Drosophila melanogaster: one gene and its partner. The protein of the gene in region 2 binds, or shares a complex with, the protein of the main gene of each other region. Each region holds a gene or a part of one and is shown on either strand. Other genes may lie near its edges. The genes, in order: Rad1 and Hus1-like.

Region 1 (3,925 bases), on a different chromosome or scaffold from region 2:
TTTCAAGATTTTAGCAATATTTTAAAGTTCTATTTTATTAGCTACCTAGTAGTTTCGGTTTAATCAGTGTTGAGCAAAGGAATTATGAAGAACTGAATGAATATCTCCTCCTGGCTATCGCCCTGCATTACCAGATGCAGTTCTAGGAGGCCAACGGAGTTCGTTTTAATGGCCACCTTGGTGGCCGACTGCATCGCCTTGTTGGTCATGCGGATCTGCTGGCTCTTGTAGCGAGCCACCACCGTCTGTTTGCAGTTAAACATCATCATCATGGGACTCGTCTTTGCCACTTCGACGCTGAACACCGCCTGCATGATCCCCACTGTGGTGATCTTAAAGTGCGGGCGGTTCGGCGATGTCACGAACTCGAACTCCTCCGCGGACTTCTCCAGCTCATTGAACACCTTCGATAGGTTCGGTCCGCGTACGAAAATAACATTAAGATCCGGATCCTTCAGATTCTGATCGTAGTCAATGGGCTCATCGCAGTCCATGGTTTTGATGGCGCACTCCGTGCTCACATCATCGTCGTCGTGCGGATACAGAATTATCTTCAGGGGATCGCCCTTATCCCTGTACATCATTCGCAGGCTGCAATCGGCGGATCCGAAGAGACTGAGACACTCGGACAGCACATTCATTTTCACACCGAAGCACTGGAAGTCCTGCACACGGAACTCCATGAAGGCACCCGGCGGCATGAAAAGCGTTGCCTGGATGGACTTGCCCTGCTCCACGGTGATGCGCAGACCATCTTCGGAGACTTGCACCATCCCATACTGTGGGTAAAACAATAGGTTGTTACCGAGTTAAGTTGGTTAACGAATAAAGAGAGTTCGAGTTAATCCTTACATCATTAAAGCAGATTGACTTGATGGCCTGGATGAAGGTCTTGATGTGCTCCACTCGAGCGACGAATTTGCAGTCGCCGTAGGGCGATGGCTCCACATCAGTCATCCTAGTCCCGAAAGACGTCCGTCCGCAGCTCCTTGATATCCTCTTTCTTAAGGATCTTCTCGGTGGTTTTCCCGCCCGTGTGCTTCAGAAATTGATGGAGCCGCAATGCCAGGATGTGCTGGCAGGTGTAGGACACCCGGCTCTCCTCGCTCCAATCCTCTAAAATGCCCGGTTCGCCACTGGGAAGGTCCTGGTAGAGGATGCCTCGCGGCAACTGCAGCACGTGGCACTGGAAGAACTCACACTTGCAGAAACTTACGCCCGGAATCAAGCGGAAGTACTCGGTTCCCTTGGAAATTTCTACCACGCACACGGATCGATTGTTCTTGGCGTGGAAGAAGGAGAAGTTGTGGTCGTCCAAGAGGTGTAGCGATCGCAGGACCAGTTCTTGGCCCAATAAAATGGATAGATCGTAAAAGAACTGTCCGCGTTCCTCTGAAAAGTTTGAAATCCAGAGTAGTTACTACAGAATCTTTCTGATTTGATAGCTCGTACCTTTTGTAAGGCTGTTGGACTCTGCTTTACTCCGATATAATTCGAAGACTTGATCAACCAGATGCGGAACAAAATAGGATGTAGTGTTTTCTGACTCGGACGCCATTCAGGACATTATTAAATCCAGTTTCTTAAGTGAATTTTGTTTATAAACAATACCGCCAAAAAGTCGTCAGGCGTCAACAGCTGTTCTGAACAAAAGTCTGGCAGCGCTGCATATTGGTGATTTAATTATTAGGGTGACCAGTTCCAAGCCTTATATGGTAAATGAATTTCGCGCCAATTATCTAATTCGAATTGGGACATTTACTCTTTTCAACTTTTTAAAGAATGAAGGCTTTATGCAGAAACCCTTATCTACCCTGCACAACCCCTGAAATGTAAATAAAACCACAATAACTTTTGGTTCGGATTGGTAAAATCATCTTCGAGATCTTTAAAAATCTGCTACACGTTAGTTCGATGTAGTGCTCTACTATCTATGGATTGTGAGAGTTTGTGCGGGCATTACAGCCGTTTTTGGTGCTATTCTAAGTCATTAATGATTAAGTGCTAACAAATTTCTACTAATACATCTAAATAATGTTCTCCTTTTCGTGTTTGATGCCACTGCTGCGTCGCTTGACGTTCTGGATCTTCATCATCTTGTTCTCGTCGGCGCACTTGGTGGTGATGGCGTTGCGCACCTCCTTCTCACTGGCATTACACTTGTGCGTCACTGCGAATATGATGTCCTGGATCTTCCCAGGATCGAGCATTCGCTTGAGCGGCTTGTCCTGATCCTTGAAGGCGGGCGACGGCTTGCCCGTCATCGAATGGGTGGCCAGAGTTTCCCGGTCGAAGATCGTGACCAGTAGTTTCCGGGTGGCCAGCGAGCACACCGACCAGTTAATATTCTCGAAGACACTGGCGGGCACACAGGTGTTGTTCGGGCCAATGGACACCATCACGTTGTCCATGTTTTGCTGTTGGCCCTTGTTGAGATCGGTAAAACTGCCATTACGGGCTTTGACTTGGGGTTTGGCTGGTAGTTTTATGTTCTGCCGCGGGATTTCTTCCTGCAACTGAATCTCCTGCAGCTTGCGGCGTTTGATGAACTGTAGTGGAGTGTCGGCGGACTCGGAGGAACCATCCCTCTTTATGCCGTTGCTAATCCTGTACTGCTGCTGGGAATTGTGATGATTGCTCTGCTGATGATTCTCGTCGCCCAGGCAAATCTCCAGGCGATCTGAGTCCGCAGAGGTGCTCAGGCTGTTCAGACTCTCCGCCGCCAGGCGAATCTCAATGGCATCCGCATCGTCGGGTGCCGAGATGATCTTGTAGTCCAGAATCTGGGGATTCTGCGCGGGCGCACATATCTCTGAACTCGGTGGCGTGAGAATGTGGTGGCTCTGGACCGCGGGCGGCGTGGGTGGTCTACTTTCTGCCAGCAGGGAGGATGCCTGTTGCATCCTGGCGGAGGTGGCATGAATCTGGGATAGCAGATCCTTGTGCTGCTGCAGTTTGGCCTCCAAGTAGCGGACCTTATCGCGGAGCGCTCTGTTCTCGACCTCCACTTGCGGGTCCGGCGCGGAGATGCTGCGAAGCACCTCGAAGTCCACGCTAGAAGTCTGCGACCAGGCATTCAGAAACAAGGGCTTGCTCCTCCTTGCCTGCGAATCCTCGCGTGCAGTGGCGCTGACTATGCGCTGATATTGCTGCAATTCGATGGGAAAAACTCTTGATCAACATATTCGGTGGAGATATCCTGCAGCTACTCACGTTTTCCATGTTCAATCCTCAAAGGATCTGCGTCAACTGAAAATTGGCGGCAGAATGCGAAAAGTGGTTGCATTCCTACCTGCACGCACACATGCGCACGCATATACGGGGAAGAGAGCGCCTGCCTCTGCGTGTGTGTGAGTGTGCCCTCCAGGTAGCTGATATCCTATTCCTGTTTCTGTTTCAGGACCCCGTCTATTTCCCAACTAGTCCAAGTCCAGCTGTCTTTTCCTTTCTTCGCATGGGATTTGTTGTTTGCGCGGGAACCAGTATATGTATTATAATTATTATTATAAATAATTGCGAATAAAGCTGCTTTTGCTCTCTCTTTCATCGACAGGGTTGACACCTAGGGCTATGAAATAAAACTATCGGTTGCAAGTCACGAGGGTTTTAAATTTTTAAGTTCTCTCTATAAAGTTTTTTTCTTTTTCTTTTCAGAATATCCGTTTGGTTAAAATTCTGTATTCTGCACTTTGGCGAAGGTCAGAAAATAAGAGAAAAAAGTAAATGTAACAAAGGAATGTGTAAGAATTCTTTCCACAGTTCCAAGAACCAAAAAGGACAATAGTTGGGTTTTGTAAAAAAAAAACCGGTTTTCAGGACCCGGACTGCATATTATCCATTGCAATTTGAATGTATTGGGAACCCTTCCAATACATGAGATCCTTTTGGAATATAATTCTTCGCTCAAATGCTCTCTGATCGGAAA
Region 2 (3,925 bases):
CAGACAGGATTTGTACGGCTCAAGTGTAGGGGCGGCTCCAGGGTTGGCTCCCGGGGCGGGGAGGGTGTTGCCAGGGGGCTCCGGGGGCGGAAATCAAATTATATCCCGTCTAGGGGGTCAAAATATTTCCTTTCGCAGTTCAATCAACCTTCAAGGTTATTGATAATGAAAATGAGCTCAAACGTTTATGCGTGGCAGAGTGGTTAGTGGATAACAAGAAATTTGGCAGTACCTCAGCGATTTTCCATTTGCTTTTAAGAGTTCTTTCAGAAATGAACTGGTACTTACCATATTTTGTTCTTTCCATACACATGGGTTGTTTGAGTTGCTGTATAAGTTGACAAAGCTAGTAATACTATGGCATCAGGAATGAAGGAAGCATACAAAAACTGATGTAATAATCCCTAAAATTCAGAAAAAGTACGTCACTGAGTTCTCCGGGTTGAGTTTTGTTCAGTGCAATGAGGGCTATTTTATGACATTTAGTAGGCCTTTTAGGAAGGGCAACTCTAGCTCGCACGACAGTGCTGCCTATTTGGCAATCAGCTGTTTATTTTTTCTCTTTAAAAATTGACCTATGACGTCACAGCAGCATAGCGAATTTCACAAAGAAGCGAAAAAAAATAATGGCTACACAAATATGTATATATATGTATCTGCTTTCTTGCTGAAACCCTCGCGTCATTGAAACGTATCTAAACGTATGTATCTATGTACATATGTACGTTAACAATTAAATATTAAAATTCAAACAAATGCTGGAGAGGGGAGGAAAGAATATTAAAGTGCTGAAAAGAGGCCAAAAATTGATCAGAAAATAAATATGCTGAGAATAAGAAACGTGATTGCCTTGCAGTCTCACTCACTAACTCACACACACTCACTCTAAATACATACATACATGCTAGCATGGATGGAGCACCACCCGCTGAAGTTTGCAGCATAAATAAAAGAGAAAGTAAAACTAAACAAGATGCGCTCGACCCCCACCCACCCCTTATCAAATAAAAGAAAATACCAACTCGAATAGAATAAAAAGACACACATACGTATTCATCAGTGGATAACCTACACGAAAGACGATCAAAATTGATTTGCGAGAAAATTCTATTCGTAAATTTATCAACTAACTATTTGGAAAATCATTCATTTGGAATTGTAATCACCTATGCACTTTGGTATAAGCTTTTCTGTGCACATTTTCCTGGAAAATGAATGAGACTCCTCGGCAGCCATTGTAAAAATCAATATTGGAGATTGCCCTCAGAAAAAAGTGCACTTAAACCCAGATGTCACTCAATCAAAAACTTCTAATTGGGAAAGCACAAATTTACCACACTTTTCCGAGCCTTCGAAAGGCATAAACCTTCACAAATCGGTGGGAAAAAGTAATAGAGGAAAATACAATTCGGTCGACATTTTGTTTTCCGTCTCGCTGGTGCCTATTTGAAACGTAAGCGTGTGTATGTGTGCGTATGTGTATCTCGTCTGAGCTCGGAGCCCCATAAAATCAGTGGTCAAATTACTTCTTCGTATCGCCATAGGCTCGCCTTTGCAAAGCTTTTTGGTCTCCATGGCGTCCGCAGCAGTCGCACTTACCTTTCAACCAAATGCAGAAGTTTTCTCTAAGTATGCACAGTTTTTATACACTCAGCAATTTTCACACGCGACGGAAAACAATGTGCACCAGTGAGACCGCGTCTTGCTACGAACGACTATCGACATCGAAAACCGATAACGATACCGATGGGGAATGCTTTGTTTATTTGAATGTGAACGATGCATTTGGGGCCTTCCGTTACCTTCGCCGCAGACCGCATTTGGTTTGTAGGCGATATGCATGGTAATTATAATTATAGTGATTTAATTAATTACAATTATAATTGTATTAATGTATACAGAAGTATACTTTATACATAAACTTACATTGAGTTGCGTTTTCAAGAATAAGTATTGCGAAACTTTTAAGTAAGCTATAAAAAGCTGAATTTCTACTGTACATTTTAGGATTTTCTTTTTGATATATTTTGAAATGTAGGGAATAGTCAAAACAGTAATGCCGTTGAAACCTTAGAAACCATCAACCCGTTTTGCTCTCTACAATATTATTCGGGAATGCTCCGGTAATCGAATTCGTAAGAAAATTTTAATTTGTAAAACGGCCTTTTAAAAAGTAAATGCCTTTTTTATATCAAATCAGATCTTATTAACTAAGGGGAAAAAATAGTTTGCTGGTCTATTGATATTTATTAATTGATGTTTATGTTCCACATCACCATAAGATCATTTTTAGACTTAGTTATATTAAACAAAAGTAATTTCTGACCCCACCTGAAATTTGACAAACAAAATTTTGCAGTTGGCAACAAAAAGTTTCGATTTGGCAAGTGTTCATAATTATGTCGACAAAAGCTATCAGGAAGACTGCTATACTATTGGTGAAACAATACAGTATAAACAGTATAAATGCATATAAGATGTAATGAAAAAAAATTCGTAATTAATTTAAAGGAGGGTCGAAAGTACTGTTCGTAAATAATACTATTTAATTTAATTACTTAAATGGACAAAGTGCAGTGCGAACATCGGAACTAAAACTGTGAAAAAATTGGTCGCTCCATTGTCTGGAATACAGCTTAGACATCTGTTTCCTGTTTACAAAACATTCCGATCGCAAAAATTCCGCGAAAACCCGAGCACCTAAAAACGAAGTCGAAAGATTTTGCCAAATCGTAATCGAAAAAATATTACTATTACCGGAACATGCCTGATTGTGGTCTTTAGATAGGTTATTTAATTTAAATTAAACTGAAAAGTATTTTTTAAGATTCTTCAATTTAACAAGAAATGAATTTTAATAAATTTTATTAATTTAGCGTAAAATGTTCGGTGGAATCCGGCTATCAGCGCTGCTGCGAGTGGGACGAAGCGCAATCATCGCCATCTTCCGATAGTGTTATCCCAACTTTGCCAGCTCGGTTTTTATTTACTTTCCTGTGCGGCGAGTTTACTCATAAAACAAATGATAATAAAATACACAAAGACCATATTGAATGTTCAATGACAAGATCGATATTCCTAAGCCTTGAAAACGTCCATCTAAAACTAATAGAAACTATTATTGTTTTGGGACAGGCAAGTGCATCCAACCAGAAGCACAAAGGTTCTTATCACGAAAAAAGACAATTCCAAAAACAACAACAAGGAAATAGATAGCGCAACAAGGTGAGTAAACAATAAACTAAAGACAACCAACTGAGTCACTCACTTGCCTTCGTCGATTGCAGTTGTTTGACCGCTGAAACGGAATCTCGTTGTACGGAGAAAGTCTCGAGAACTTTAAGGTGTGACGTGTCGCTCGCTTACGGACTATAGAAACCGGAGAACGGAAAGGAGGCGGAAGCGGAAGCGGAGAAGTGATGTGTGGAAATCCAGCTGTGGGAAACGGGACGAGGGCGTTGATTCTGGTCGGTGGTTATGGGACCCGGCTGCGACCCCTGACCCTCAGCACGCCCAAGCCACTGGTGGAGTTTGCCAATAAGCCGATTCTTCTCCACCAACTGGAGGCACTCGTCGATGCGGGATGTCGTCAGGTATATCCAGTTTTTTAGACTAATGACGCCCAAACTGCCCCATTGCTTAGGAGAATGGAAATATGGCACATCATTCTTAAAACAAGGTTTTTTAAACACCTTTGGATGTTTAGAAAACAGTTGATCTTGTTCCATATTGGTTGCCGTTGCCAAATTTAGGGAAGACGGTTACATAACACGCTAAGAATCAAATCAACTTCCTCTAAAAGAGATTATTCTTTTGTTTTATATTTCTAAAATAATGCATACTTCTTTCTCGCAGGTTATTTTAGCCGTCAGCTATCGAGCCGAGCAAATGGAAAAGGAGCTTAAAGTCGAAGCCAAGAAACTGG

The links.
Region 1: Hus1-like (region 2) and Rad1 share a complex: the UniProt entries of both Drosophila melanogaster proteins name them as parts of the 9-1-1 checkpoint clamp complex.

What each region holds. Positions count from the first base shown.
Region 1 is NT_033779.5:2,573,424-2,577,348, forward strand, and holds Rad1 (radiation insensitive 1), read right to left. Parts: upstream 1,630-3,925; 5' UTR 1,559-1,629; coding exon of another isoform or gene 1,453-1,558; intron 1,393-1,452; coding exon of another isoform or gene 959-1,392; 5' UTR 958-958; coding exon 853-957; intron 780-852; coding exon 60-779; 3' UTR 13-59; downstream 1-12. Other genes in the region: Sws1 (SWIM domain containing Srs2 interacting protein 1), read right to left, coding at 959-1,392, 1,453-1,558; insv (insensitive), read right to left, coding at 2,028-3,149, 3,214-3,222.
Region 2 is NT_033777.3:4,810,384-4,814,308, forward strand, and holds the start of Hus1-like (Hus1-like), read right to left. Parts: upstream 1,714-3,925; 5' UTR 1,600-1,713; exon of another isoform or gene 1,061-1,599; intron 405-1,060; exon of another isoform or gene 289-404; intron 1-288. Other genes in the region: Gmppb (GDP-mannose pyrophosphorylase B), read left to right, coding at 3,420-3,593, 3,856-3,925. UniProt on the Drosophila melanogaster protein: Component of the 9-1-1 checkpoint clamp complex. Involved in both meiotic and somatic DNA damage responses.